2 linked regions of the Pelodiscus sinensis genome follow. The protein of the gene in region 1 purifies or fractionates together with the protein of each later gene. This does not show direct contact. Links are inferred from orthologs where the notes say so. Each region holds a gene or a part of one and is shown on either strand. Other genes may lie near its edges. The genes, in order: C1D and MPHOSPH6.

Region 1 (7,446 bases):
TTATCTTGGTCTGTAAAGCACAGTGCAACTTGAATCCTAATGACCTGCAAAACCATTTCTCTCCTATGCACAAACTTCATGCTTGGCATCAGCTGATGTTCTCTTACTTACCAGGGCTAGGCTGAGAATTTTCAATGAAAAGCTCGGAAATTCATTCAACTCTTTTGAACTAAAAAAGAGAGGTTACTCATCCTGTGCAGTAACCGGGGTTCTTTGACATGTGACATTCTTTGAGTGTTGCACTGTAGGTGTGATCATGCCCCCTGTACCTGGGATTGGAGCTCTTCATCAGTGACAGTTAGATTGTGCATACACACCTCCCAGTCTTGTGCTGTATGCACCATCTGTATATATAAAGCTGTGCAGCTTCTTCTCTACCACAGAGCTTATTTTTCAGCTCCAAAGCAGAAGGGTGGTAGTGGCTGCGGAGCACCCACAGGAACACACATCTCAAAAAACCTGAGTTACTGAACATTATGGCTACATCTACACTGGCATGATTTTCCGCAAATGCTTTTAATGGAAAAGTTTTCCGTTAAAAGCATTTGTGGAAAAGAGCATCTAGATTGGTATAGACGCTTTTCCGCAAAAGCACTTTTTGCGGAAAAGCATCCATGCCAATCTAGACGCGCTTTTGCGCAAAAAAAGCCCCGGTCGCCATTTTAGCCATCGGGGCTTTTTTGCGCAAAACAGTACTGCGCTGTTTACACTGGTCCTCTTGCGCAAATGATTTGCGCAAGAGGGCTTTTGCCTGAACGGAGCAGCTTAGTATTTCTGCAAGAAGCACTTTTTTCTTACAGTAGGAAGTCAGTGTTCTTCCGGAAATTCAAGCGGCCAGTGTAGACAGCTGGCAAGTTTTTCCACAAAAGCAGCTGATTTCGCGGAAAAACTTGCCAGTCTAGACATAGCCTATGAGTAACCTTCTCTTCTTCGAATGGTTTTCCTATAGGTGTTCCACTGCAGGTGGCTATAAAGCAGTGGTCCTCATTGTAAGATTGGGGCTTTGAAGTGGCTTTTACTGTGAATGATTGTAAGGTCAGCCCTAGCAGAGTATCTGATACTGCATCATGAGTAATGGTGAGTGATGGCTAAAAGCATCCATGAAAACCCAAGTGCCTGCTGTGCAAATGTCAGCAATTAGGACCTTGTTAGGAAAGGCAATTGAGGTGGATAGAGAGTAGGTGGAAGATACTCAAGTTCCAGGAAGTGGTTGTCCATTGTGTAGGTGGTAGGACAAGTGTATACATTGTAAGATCCACTTAGAAAGGTCTTACTTAGAAATGGGGTTGTTTCTTTCAGCCATTCATAGGAATAAGTATGGTCATCATCTGAAAGGTTTAGTTCTGCCTAGAGAGAAAGCTAATGCTTATCAGATGTCCATAGTGTGCAATGCTGCCTCCTGCTAGTTGCTCTGTGGCTTGGAAAGAGGCAGAGAAGGCAGATAGGTTGATTTAGATGGAAAGAAGATGGTATTTTGGGTAAAAATTGAGATGGGGCATAATGAATCCTTGTCTTTATGGAAAATCACAGAAAGGGGGTATGCCATGACTGCTCTTGTTTCACCAATCCTCGGGGCAGAAGTGATACTGACAAGAAATGCAGTTTTTGTGACTAAATGAACATAGGAATATGTTACCATTGATTTGAAAGATGGTCTAGTAAGATATCACATGAAGCCAGGGTCCCAGGCTGGGGTCAGATTCTGTACATGAGGTAAAGATTTTGGATACCTTTAAGGAATCTTTTTGTCAGTGGGTGGATGAACACAGAGCATCCATATATCTCGGGATGAAAGGTTGTAATGGATGCCACGTGCACCCAAATGGACCTGGTGTATACCCCCAATCTTTTAAGATGTAAAATATAGTTCAGAATTAATAGTAATGGGGAACTCATTGCTTCTCCCTGATAGGAGGTGCACTAGGAGTGGAATCTAGTCCACTTGTGGACATAAGTGCATCTTGTTCTGTCGCTGCTATTCAAGACTATTTCTTTGACTGCTTCTAAACAGGTTCTCTCTGAATCCCAGAACCAGGGAGGAGCCATGCCTTCAGGTAGTGTAGTTGTGGATTGAGATGCTGTGAAAGGAGCCAGGGAGTCTGTGCAGAGTGATCAAGGTTCATACTGTCATGCAAATAGGGTAAGTATACCTGATTTATCATGGCTATGTCAGGCTCAGTCTGAATAGAAGGGGAAAGAGAGGAAAGGCATAGAGCCTTTCCCATGCAAGGTGAAATGTGTCTTTCAGGGATCTGTGTCCTAGGTCCACTCTTGAGCAAAATCAAGGATAGCAGGGGTTGTTCAATGTGGCAATGAGGTTTATGGTGGGGAACCTCTGGTGACTGAAGATGTGTTGGAGGTCTCATATATCTAGCTTCTACTAGTAATTATAGTTAAATCTCTTGCTCATTGAATTTGCAATGGTGTTCTGGTGTCTGGTATGTGACTAAGATGGATACACCAATTCCACAATTTCACTGCTTCCAAGCATAGAGAGTAGGATCATACTCTGCCTTTCTTGTTGATGCAGAACATACAGGTGATATTGTTTGTCATGACTCTGGTAGAGGGATGTACAATGAATGGTAGAAAATGTCAGTAGGCATTGTGGACCTCTGTTGTGGCCAAATACAATTATGTCACTTATTCCAAAGTAAAGCACCACTGCCAAGACCTCACATTCACTGAATTGCAGGCGCCAGAGCAGCCTGTGCTAGGGTGGAAATCCTGGGTGCTGGTTTGGGGAGGGAATTTGAGAGCTGGAGAAGGACAGGCCCTTTGGGGACAAGACAGGAGCATAGAGGTGGGGGGAGAGGATGCAGACTCTGGTGGGAATGGTATGCACAAGGAGATGTGGGGGATGCTACACTTACCTGGGGCACCCTCCACTGGCAATGACTCCTGGGGAGGCAGGAGTCTCTGGGTGCTGCTGCCCCTGCATATTCCCTCTGCCCCCGGAGCCTCATCTGCCACCCCAGAGAAATTTAAATTGCCCCGGGGTACCCCACCATCAGCACAGTGTGATTAGAGCACCTTCTTGCCCCCCACTTATCCTGGCAGCCAGCATGTGCATCCCTATGGCCGAGGTCTCTGTGTCGTGCACGGTTCTAACCCAGTCGTGTGCAATCCGTGGGTTGCAACCCCCAAGGGGGTTGTAGATGTCTTCCTGGGGGGCCACCAATGGCTGGGCCCAGTCCTCAGCCAGCCAGATCTAAGTACCACGCTGCTCAAATTATCAAAGGGGTCATGACACAAGTAAATGGGGGTCATGGTTGAAAAAAGGTTGTGCACCACCCAGGCTACGTCTACACAAGCGCGATCTTGTGCCAGAGATATGCAAATAAGGCTAAGCGTGGAATATCACCGAGCCTTATTTGCATACCTAATGAGCTGCCATTTTTGTGGAAGAGGCTCTTGTGCTAGACGGAGCGGTCTACACTGCCCCTTTTTGAGCAAGAAAAAGCCTCTTGCGCAATGCCGTTATTCCTGAAAATAATCAGCGTCGCAGCATTGCGCAAGAGGGTTTTTCTTGCGCAAGAAGGGGCTGTGTAGACTGCTCCTTCTAGCGCAAGAGCCTCTTCCGCAAAATGGCGGCTCATTCGGTATGTAAATGAGGCTCGGTGATATTCCACGCTTAGCCTCATTTGCATATCTCTGGCACAAGATCATGCCAGTGTAGACATAGCCCCAGTGTTTCTCAACCAGTGGTACGAGTACCCTTAGGGGTACTTTAGAAAAGTCTGGGGGGGGGGGGAAGGGGGCGTCAACACAACTGAAATGTGGAGAAAACTGAATCTCTGTTTTAAGTTGTACTGCACTTTATTATTTTTGTACTTTTTACACCAAAAAATTCCCCTCCCACCATTAAGTTGTTTAAACAAATGTGTTGCAAGGGTAGAAAAAAAAAGGTGTGTCTGAAACCTGTAGGTAGTGGGGTACCCTAGATCTGTATGGTCTTGGGGAAAGGGGTAGTTGTACAAACAGGGCTGAGACACACTGGCCTAGCCGGCCTGCGGGCTCTCAAATCTCCCCAAGGCGGGGCCAGGGCCCACGTGGCGCGCGACCTGAGCTTGCAGGCGCTGCCCAGCCTCACCCCGAGCCCCTGGGGACACCTCGGGAGCGAGCGAGGGGAGGCGGAGCGACCGGGAAGGGGCGGGGCCAGGAGGGCAGCTACGTAGGAGCCTCTCTGTGAGCCGCGGGGTGCCAACCGGAAGTGCTGCCCCTCCCCCCGGAAAGGGTAAAGGAAGCCGCTTTCTGAGCTCCCCCCCCCCCCCCATCCGGCCAGCACGCGCGTCGCCTCAGCCCCTCCAGACTGCGGGGCTACTGGATCCCGCTCCCCCCTCCCTCCGGAACGGCACCGAACCCCGCCCTCGCCGAGTGTGATTGGCCACCTGCCCAAGGCCCGCTCTTACCGCGCTCCCCCCGCGGCTCTCGGGCGCCTAACCCCCACCCGCAAGGCCCCGCCCTTTTGCCCTCGTAAGGAGCTTTGCCGGATTGTCCCGCGTCACTCTGACACCTTCCCGCAAGGAGACCTTCCTCCTCGGATTGGCTCTAGCTCCAGAAGCCCCGCCTTCCCACGTTTTCCTTTCCCTGATTGGCCACGACGCCAGCGCCGAGCTTCTATTGGCTTCTCGCACAGTCACTCTGGCTGGCGTCGCGCCGCTCCCCGCGGACAGGTTGCGCAGTTCTACCGGCGCCTTTTTCACGCGTCATCGTTCTGCGCCCAGCTCAGGGCAGCTCTTCCGGCCGCATCCCCGAGTCCAGCGCCCTGGCTCCCGTCGCGCGCGGCAAGTCCCAGAGTCGTTTGGCGCCCGGGGAGTTCGCGAGACACCGCTGGGCTGAGGGATCGGCCAGAGCTTCGCCTCAGCGGAGCAGCGCTTCGTAGCCCCCTGCGGCTGGGAAACGCGCCGCGAGTCCCGCGTAGGGAAACGCCTCAGGCCTGGCTTCCCAGGTAGCCGCGCTAGCCTGGGGGGGTCCGGTGGCACCTTAAAGACTAGTGATTAGACTGTGGCAATAAGCGTGACTGGCAGGCGTGGGCCGCCGCCTCATCACACGCTCCCATCCCCAGGCTGCATTGTGCCCTGGAATGCCCCAGCTGTAGCGGTTTGGAAACCAGTTCCCAGTGTTTTAGGGAGGCAGCCGTGTGGGTCTGTTTTAGCAAAAAGAGTGAGGAATCCTGAGGGGCCTCTAGGGATGTTAAATTTAGTTTAATCAACTAATTAACTGGTTGATAAGCAGGGGAGTTGTAGTGGGGTTAGTTCCTGGCCTCGCTGCAGCTCTGCCTCTTAAATATATTTAGAGTGGGGGGGTGGGGGAGACACTCCCAAGATTTTGGAAAGGGGTCGAGGGCCATACTCTTCCATGGTATTAATGGAGGAGATGTGGGGTCTGGGCTGGAGGTAAGGAGCAGAAGGGAGGCTGGGATAAAGGATTGGGGTACAGCAGGAGAATGGCACCTGAGAGGGCGTTTGGATGAAGAAGGTGGTTGTGAACTGGGTCAGGGAACTGGGTGCAGGCTTTTGGGATGTGACCTAGGATAGGAGGGGATTGTGTTCTCCAGCAGGAGATGAGGTGCCAGATCTGGGAGGGGGTATGGGTGAATGTGGAGTAGAGGGGCAAGAGTGTGGGGCAGAGAGTTGGGGAAGGAAGGGACTGCGGTGCTAGAGGCAGGTTCTCACCAGAAGTCTTACCAGCCTGCCTGCAGAGCTAAAGGCTTGCAGAGCTTAAAATGTTTGCCTGCTCCACCATGTGCTTGATTGAGTGAGCAGGAGGGTTGTGCTTTGTGGTTGCCTGTTATTCAAATAGGCAGCTCCCATTGGCCAGTGTCTGTGCAGAAACTTGACAATGAGATTGTGTTGGGGGCAGGAGCAGCGTCTGAATCTTCCCTTTTCCCCTCTAGACTTAACAGAGAAAGTGCCCCGCAGCTGCATTTCTGAGCTGTGTGTGGGGCTGCAGGGCAAGTAGGGGAGCCTGCCTGGGGCTCCCCACTGCCTCTGTGGTCTGGATCCGGTGGCTTGGCAGGCCAGATGCAGCCTGCGGGCCGTGTTTTGCCCAGCCCTGATTAAGAGCCATGTCTGGGGAGTCCCCAGCCACCCTGCTCTTTATTCCTCTTTATAAGAAGCAGTAGCGTGGGGTGGCAAGTGAGAGCCACTCTGCGAAGAGAGCCAGTCTAAAAGAGGTAGCAGTCTGGGAGAGGGGGGGCAGGTGGAGCCAGTGCTTGTGGCTTGTGGCAGGTGGAGCCAGTGCTGATACAGAGGCAGCAGAGGTGGGTAATGCATGTAGTTGACAGGATTAATGGATTAAATCCGGCTTATTAGTTAATTGTGTAGTTGTCTTCAGGTTGACATCCCTAAAAACAACCTTAAATGTGCTGGATACCTGAGGGAAAAAGAAAATAAGTTTATTAAAACATGCTTGCATTTAAAACTAACTGATATATGAAACAAAGTAGTTAGGGAAACAAAATAATTGTTTCTGGTTACCAGATGCTTCAAGATTTTAGAACTAGTAAATTGTATCCTCACACCTCTCTCACCTCATTTTTATTTATGGTTTGGAAAAGGAAAACAATTGTTCCTGCTTTTTTCAAATCTCACTGGTTTTTTCAATTTTGAATTAACTTGTCATTAAAATGAACTAGTTGAATAAACTGAATTGAAGGAAGAACCTGCAGGAGAGACTACTGCTTTCAAAAGATGACTTAGCACTTCAGCAGGCTCTGGTTCCATGCACTTAGCCAGTGACTTCCACTAGTTCAGTGGGTTGACATTCTTTAAAACTTTTGGCACCAAATATCTTTGAATATTTTTGTTTAATTTAAATTACTTCAATAGATTGTAATAAGTTTAGGCGATATGATTGACATAATTTCAAATCTAATTTAAATAGGTTAATTTTTTAAAAGAAAAATATTTAATTTACATTAAAAACCACTTTAAATAAAACATCAGATTTTTTTATTTCAAAGAATTGATTTTTCCAGCCTTGTTTTCTTGCCAGACTAGCTGTCCTTCAATTTTGTGATTATTTGGAGAATGGGAAGGTTTTTTCAAATTAGCATATTGGGTTAGTTACTGGAGGACAACCTTTTTAGCTGAGATTTAAAAGCCAGTGTCTTGTGTATTGTGTGTTGCCATTAAAGCATTTGTCACATGTTTCATGAATAATTTTGCCTCCATGTACTTAGCCAAAATATCGCTGCTCCTTTTTACTGTATTGGGTACCATGTGTAGAATACAAACTTTCTTCTATCCCAGAAGTGGCTGTCTTTAGTCACTGTTAGATTTTTTTTTTGGGGGGGGGTACCTTGTATTCTATTGAGATTATTGTTATACAGTAAACTTCTGATAATCCGGCACCTTTAGGACCCAGAGGGTGCCGGATTATCAGATATGCTGGACTATCAGAAGGGGGGGCTATGAGGGGTCTGGGGTGGGGTGGGGGGAT
Region 2 (7,505 bases), on another chromosome or scaffold:
GGCACGAACCTAGTTCACAAAGATCACTTAAAAACTATTTCACATTGTTTAAAGAGAAACTACTCTTTAAATAATGTTAATTAAAACTTTAATTTAACTTTGATATTCACTGAAAAAAAGACCCTCTGTCTCCTAGGAAATAACATCTTTGATCTGTCCGTTTAATGTAGAATCTTTGATGATTTGGACTTTTTTTTCTCCTGTGCTGTTTCAGTGAGCTATTCTCTTTTGCATTCGTAGGTTGAAAGCAGAGTTGCAATTTTAGCTGCCAGAATTGGGAAAAGGGTCATTCAGAATAACCCTCCTACCCCACATCACAAGAGCCACTTTTTTGATCTCTTTCATTAAGACTAACCTCATATCATCAGAGGTTGAAGAGCTAGGGCCAGATTCTGCTCTCTTTGACACAAGTATACATTGTGAAGATATTCACTACAATTAATGGAGTGCTTAATCGGTGTAATACACAGCATGATCGTGCCCAAAATACATCCAATTGCTGTCTATCCTCACCGACCAATTAAGGGTATAAATGCTCAGAGATGCAATTTAAAAATATTCTTTGATGCTTTTTATCTGTCTACATAGATTGAGGTACCTTTTTTACAAATTGCTGCCTCTCTAAATAGACAGAACCATACTGTATTGACTTCAGAACAGAGCACTTTGGACCTGAATGTATTTGGGACAGATCTTTTTTTGGTGTAAATCATTATACAACTACTTACACCAGTTGAGGCTCAGTTGGGCAAAAACAGTGGACAGTGGGTATAGAGATGCACTTACACAGCAGGAGCTCTGGAATGGCACAACTCCTGTAGAGCTCCCAGCTGAGCTGGCCTAGAAACTTCCCCATCCCACAAGGGGTGCAAGCAAGGAACAATTCTTGTGCTTCAGAGACTGCAAAGCCTCACGTTCTAGTTGTCCATGTATGGGAATGGTTACCCATGTATTTAAGGTGGGAAAATTGCCTCATCTTCCCCACCATTGCCATGGGACCACACACAACTAGTAAAAGGGTTTAGAGGACAATCTTGTGGTGTAAATTATAGTACATTTGGCTCCATGATGTTCAATGAAGTCACAGGCATCAGCACCAGAGGTGAAAGTAAGTAGGTGTGCCTAGGTTCACAGCTTCAGCAAGAGCTGGCTGAACTGCAGCAAAAGCCAGCAGGGAGCTATTTAAAGAGCAGGGACACAGGCTGCAACAGGACAACACCTGTAATTAATTTTAAGTTACTTTCACTGCTGATCAGCACACTGACATGTGCATCAACTGAATATAGAAAGGATGCAATCAAAAGAGCCACCAGAAGAAAAAAAAGAGCTCACATTCTGACAAAGTTTTGTTGCTGGCCAATAATGATCAAACTAGGGTCTCAAACACCCAGCAGTGCAAGGTACCTAAGACAAGTAGGGCAATTTCCTCCACTATCTTAATTGATCTCAAATGTATGTATCATGGTGGGTTGGACTGTATGTTATTCCTCCCCTGGAATTAAGAACTGAGAACAGGGAAGGAATGGGGAGTGCTTAAGCAAATTCACTCAGGTCATAACACCTCCAGAGGAGTAACACTACTGGAGAGGCACAGGTATACCAGTTCAAACTAGATTTCCCAAAGACTAAGTGACAAAGAAAGAAGTTTAGATAAATAGCCTCAGTTTAAACTGATAAATGGCCTTTTTTCTGATCCAGCAAATGGACAGGACCTTCTGCCTATGGGAGGCTCCGGTCATTCCTGGGAAGGGTTGGAAGGACTTTGACCTACTGAAACCCCATAAGACTCATAGGTGACCTCTAGCAAGCTTTTGCATCCATATTAGGAACTCTTGCCGTTTTCATAAGATTTCTCTGTTATGCTTTCACCTTAAGAATAAAGGCAATTACACTGTGTGTAGCTTTTAAAGAAAAAGCAAAGCACAATGGCTTGGTTAAGCAGTCTGTCTTACTGGGAATGGTGAAGACCAGGAAAAAGCCAGGTCAGCAAGGAGAGAGATGCAGGTCTCTACTTAACAGAAACGATGGTTGAAGAGTTAGCACCCTGGAATGGGTCTCTTAAGGGACCATAGAGGGGAAATACAGGCATAGTTTGCGGGGAAGAAAAATTAAAATGTTGTCTGAAAAGATTTGCTTCTTCAGCCAGGCACGCTAAGGCTTGTGAGTCCATTTGTAATCCTAATAGAGTACACTAAGCATATGCAGAGAGAAAAGGATAACTATTAAGGGGAAATATTGACCTCTGGAATTTGTGTGGCTCTGAAGGGATCTAACAATTATTAAATCTGAATAGAACCCCAAGTATGGGGAGATTTGAATCCAGTTCTGGGCAGAAATCTCAAGTTTAAAAAAAAAGCAGAAATATTGCTCCAATCTCCTTCTGTCAAATGGGGATTCTTATTTTGGAAAATATAATCTGAAAATACCGAGAAGGTGCTAAAACTGTGCTTTGAAAAGAAAATAAACTACATAAGCAAATGTTTGCTGGTAGGGAGGGTGCTTGGGGTGGGAGAGTAGGTAGGAATAAAAAGGAACTGGGAGATGGGGAATGGGTAAAGGAGGAAGACTAAGGCATGTAGAGGGGCAAAAGTGGAAGAATAGGAAAGGAGAGAGTGGTTGACAGGAGGACTGGGGAAGAATGGGGCAGGGCCCTTGTATCATGAATGATCTATGGTCCCCTACATGGGCAAGACCCACCCTCCCACCGCTGAAGGCTTGGAATGAGGGACGTGCCCATCTTTTGTATGTGACCTCCACCAGTCCCGACCCTTGTGAGCCAGGCTGGGGTGCTGGCTATCTATGGGGTCTGACCCCCCCCCTTCCTGCCCCCATGTATGTGCCAGGCTCGGGGGAAGGGCTGCCCATCCATGACGTGTGACCCCCCCATGTATGTGCCAGGCTCGGGTAGGGGGCTGCCCATCCATGACGTGTGACCCCCCCCCATGTATGTGCCAGGCTCGGGTAGGGGGCTGCCCATCCATGACGTGTGACCCCCCCATGTATGTGCCAGGCTCGGGTAGGGGGCTGCCCATCCATGACGTGTGACCCCCCCATGTATGTGCCAGGCTCGGGTAGGGGGCTGCCCATCCATGACATGTGACCCCCCCCATGTATGTGCCAGGCTCGGGTAGGGGGCTGCCCATCCATGACGTGTGACCCCCCCCCCCCATGTATGTGCCAGGCTCGGGTAGGGGGCTGCCCATCCATGACGTGTGACCCCCCCCCATGTATGTGCCAGGCTCGGGTAGGGGGCTGCCCATCCATGACGTGTCCCCCCCCATGTATGTGCCAGGCTCGGGTAGGGGGCTGCCCATCCATGACGTGTCCCCCCCCATGTATGTGCCAGGCTCGGGTAGGGGACTGCCCATCCATGACGTGTGACCCCCCCCCATGTATGTGCCAGGCTCGGGTAGGGGACTGCCCATCCATGACGTGTGACCCCCCCCCATGTATGTGCCAGGCTCGGGTAGGGGGCTGCCCATCCATGACGTGTGACCCCCCCCCCCATGTATGTGCCAGGCTCGGGTAGGGGACTGCCCATCCATGACGTGTGACCCCCCCCCATGTATGTGCCAGGCTCGGGTAGGGGGCTGCCCATCCATGACGTGTGACCCCCCCCCCCATGTATGTGCCAGGCTCGGGTAGGGGGCTGCCCATCCATGACGTGTGACCCCCCCATGTATGTGCCAGGCTCGGGTAGGGGGCTGCCCATCCATGACGTGTGACCCCCCCATGTATGTGCCAGGCTCGGGTAGGGGACTGCCCATCCATGACGTGTGACCCCCCCCCCATGTATGTGCCAGGCTCGGGTAGGGGACTGCCCATCCATGACGTGTGACCCCCCCCCCATGTATGTGCCAGGCTCGGGTAGGGGACTGCCCATCCATGACGTGTGACCCCCCCCCCCCATGTATGTGCCAGGCTCGGGTAGGGGACTGCCCATCCATGACGTGTGACCCCCCCATGTATGTGCCAGGCTCGGGTAGGGGGCTGCCCATCCATGACGTGTGACCCCCCCATGTATGTGCCAGGCTCGGGTAGGGGGCTGCCCATCCATGACGTGTGACCCCCCCATGTATGTGCCAGGCTCGGGTAGGGGACTGCCCATCCATGACGTGTGACCCCCCCATGTATGTGCCAGGCTCGGGTAGGGGGCTGCACGGGCTGCGACCCCCCCCCCCCCCCAGCAGAGCCGCCTCCGCAGCGCGGCCCCGCCCCGCACAAGGCCCCGCCCCCGTGCGCGGCAGAGGCCCCGGGCGGAAACCCGGCCCCGCCCCGCCGCTCCAGCTCCGGCGGCGCGGCCTGTGCGCGTGGCCCGGCTGCGGGCGGCTCGTGCGGCAGCAGAGGGGCGGGGATCGCTCGCGGCCTCCAGGCCCGGCCCCGCGATGGCCGCCGAGGCGAAGACCAGGCTGTCCAAGAACCTGCTGCGCATGAAGGCGAGAGCGGGGGCGCGTGCGGGGCGGGCTGCGCCCGGTGGAGGGATTGAGGGGCGGGGCGGGGAGTGGGGGCTAAGCCGGCCCCCAGGGAGATTGGGGGAGCCGGCCCTGGCAGCAGAGCGGGGGGGGAGGGGTTAGGGAATGAGGGGTGGGGTGGGGCGGGGTGGGGCCCCCGAGAGGATTGTGGGGTTGTAAGGCAAAGACCTGGCCCGTGCCAAGGGGGTGAGGAGGGAGGGCCGGGGGAGTGGAGCCCGTGGGGAGAGGTACCGATGTCAGCGTGACTACACGGCTAACCGATAAGCCGGGGTTTGTGTGTTACTCTTAGCAACTACACACACACACACACACTCTGCCTGGGTTTGTGTGTTACTCTTAGCAACTACACACACACACTGCCTGGGTTTGTGTGTTACTCTTAGCAACTACACACACACACAAACACACACACTGCCTGGGTTTGTGTGTTACTCTTAGCAACTACACACACACACAAACACACACACACTCTGCCTGGGTTTGTGTGTTACTCTTAGCAACTACACACACACACACACACTCTGCCTGGGTTTGTGTGTTACTCTTAGCAACTACACACACACACAAACACACACACTGCCTGGGTTTGTGTGTTACTCTTAGCAACTACACACACACACACACACACACACTCTGCCTGGGTTTGTGTGTTACTCTTAGCAACTACACACACACACACACACACTCTGCCTGGGTTTATGTGTTACTCTTAGCAACTACACACACACACACTCTGCCTGGGTTTATGTGTTACTCTTAGCAACTACACACACACACACACACACACTGCCTGGGTTTATGTGTTACTCTTAGCAACAACACACACACACTCTGCCTGGGTTTATGTGTTACTCTTAGCAACTACACACACACACACACTCTGCCTGGGTTTGTGTGTTACTCTTAGCAACAACACACACACCCTGCCTCTATATCACAGGGGCGAGTAGGAGCTGGTGCCGTGGCGAACCAGCACGGGAGCTGCCTGCTCCTCCTCTCCCACCGCCAGCGTTGCTGCCTCTGATAGAAAGGCAGATACGAGACGTGGGGAGGGGGGGGAAGGTGGGAGACAGTACACGCAAGAGGCCGGCTTTCAAGCCAGATCCCAGTGCATATGGGCTCATGCAAGCCGCTACCCCTTTCCCTTCACACACACACTGCTGCCTCTCTATCAGAGGCAGCAGAGCAGAACATGGCATCTGGAGCAGACAGGCAGGAGCTGATACATGTGCGGAACTGGCTTTTAAGCCAGCTTTCCTCACGTACCAGCTCTGTGGAGCCACCTGCCTCCTCACCCCCATACTGTTGCCTCTTATCTGAGGTGGCAGCGAGAGAGGACCAGGGGAGGTTGCTGCGGAGCAATCTCTGTCCCCAGTAGGCCCAGGCTGATAGCGGACAGAGGCTGCTCTGTGACATGTCGGTGCAGCCTCTGTCTGTGGGGGAAGCTCAGGCCCCCCATGGACAGAGGTTGCTGCTATCAGAGCACACTGGCTGTGGGCCCCATCCCTGGGGACTATCGAATACTTAAGTAATCAATATTTTGTGGAGTTACACAACTATTCAGTTAATTGCTATCTAACATCTCTAGAAAAGCTCCAGGAGGCTTCTGCACGTGGGACCAGACATTTAGGGGTAGGGGAACAAAGGGAAAGATTGCCCACCAGCATTTGAGGAGGCCTCAGACAATCGCAGGCCCAGAAACAAAATTTTTTTTAATTACCCCTCAAGTGGACACCTTAATCTCCATATCATCAAAACTACTGCTCCCCCATTGTAACAGTGTGGCCACACACACATTTTCCAGGCCACTGCTCCCCACTGGGAGGATTGTGGAGGCACAGAAAGGAGACCATTCCCGAGGTGGGGAAGATGAGAAAGAATGCCTTTTCAAGCTAGTGGGGAAGCTGAAGTATATAGAGCGCTACAAAGAGGAGAGGGCAGGGAGCCGGATATTGACATAGGGGGACTGGTATAGAGGCTGAGGGTAAGGAGGTGGGAAGCTGTGTGTCTGCCTAGGCATTTGTACCTTTTGCTGCTTACTGTTGTACTTGGAAGTATGGGCGGAAGAAATGAAAAGACTAAATTAGGCTATTCAGTATGGGCTGATGAGAAGCTGAAGACCTCTGGGGGCATGAAAGGACATGGGGAAGGTGTTTTGAATGGCAGGGAAGGGACCTAAGCACAGCTAGAGCGAAGACAATAAGCTGGTTTTTGCAGTGTAAACTGGGAAGAGATAATGGCATTATAATGTGTACCCCCTTCTCTGCTATGGGCTCTTCCACACCAGGCCAGCCTGCTGGGACATGGTTTCAGTCAAGGTGCTGTGTGCTGTTTCTAGGATCAGGACCCATGTCCTGAGCTGCCAGTGCAAAGAGACACGTCATCTTAGGAGGCATAGGCATAACCAGGGGTGGATATAGGGCAGGGTGAACGGGGCGGCCGCCCCGGGCCCCGCGCTTAAAAAAGCCCCGAGCATGCGCCGTGGCAAAGGGGGGCCCCGCGGAGTTATGCTGCCCGGGGCCCTGCAAAACAGTCATCTGCCCCTGGGCATAACTGTACTAAACTGGTGTACAAAATAAGCCTTGGGGTGCTTTGCTCATCTGTTGCAATAAAAACGTGTAAATATGGTATAAACCAAAAATGTATGGTAAAGATAGTAAATACATAGTCAAATAACATCATAAGGGGCATTGGGCCCTCTCTTGTATATGATTCATGCTTCAATCTGGAGTCCTGATGTAAGTGAAAATTTGCCTGATTTTGGGATAGGGTCTTGAACAGTAAATGAGACCCTGACTCAGCAAATTAATGGGTGAGCCACACTTCATGGGTAGAAAATACTTGGCCAGGAAAGTGCATGTGGAAACGTAGGGTTAACCAAAACAATCTAATATTATTTTAAACACAACTGTCCTTTTCTGCACCAAAGGCAAATCTGTGTATTAATTGGGTTAGAAAGCATGTTTAGTACCATGTTGCCTTTTCCCAAGATAAACAAGGCCACGCTTTTAAGTTTGCTTTGTCATCTTGTTG

The links.
Region 2: the proteins of C1D (region 1) and MPHOSPH6 purify together in Homo sapiens (co-immunoprecipitation; 3 studies listed by BioGRID and IntAct, counting the BioPlex papers as one, with this or other methods). This does not show direct contact. The link is inferred for Pelodiscus sinensis from reciprocal best matches to the Homo sapiens genes C1D and MPHOSPH6.

The regions. Positions count from the first base shown.
Region 1 is NC_134713.1:181,892,565-181,900,010, forward strand, and holds the start of C1D (nuclear nucleic acid-binding protein C1D), read left to right. Parts: upstream 1-4,441; 5' UTR 4,442-4,951; intron 4,952-7,446. UniProt on the Homo sapiens protein: Plays a role in the recruitment of the RNA exosome complex to pre-rRNA to mediate the 3'-5' end processing of the 5.8S rRNA; this function may include MPHOSPH6.
Region 2 is NC_134722.1:10,611,583-10,619,087, forward strand, and holds the start of MPHOSPH6 (M-phase phosphoprotein 6), read left to right. Parts: upstream 1-4,249; 5' UTR 4,250-4,385; coding exon 4,386-4,436; intron 4,437-7,505. UniProt on the Homo sapiens protein: RNA-binding protein that associates with the RNA exosome complex. Involved in the 3'-processing of the 7S pre-RNA to the mature 5.8S rRNA and play a role in recruiting the RNA exosome complex to pre-rRNA; this function may include C1D.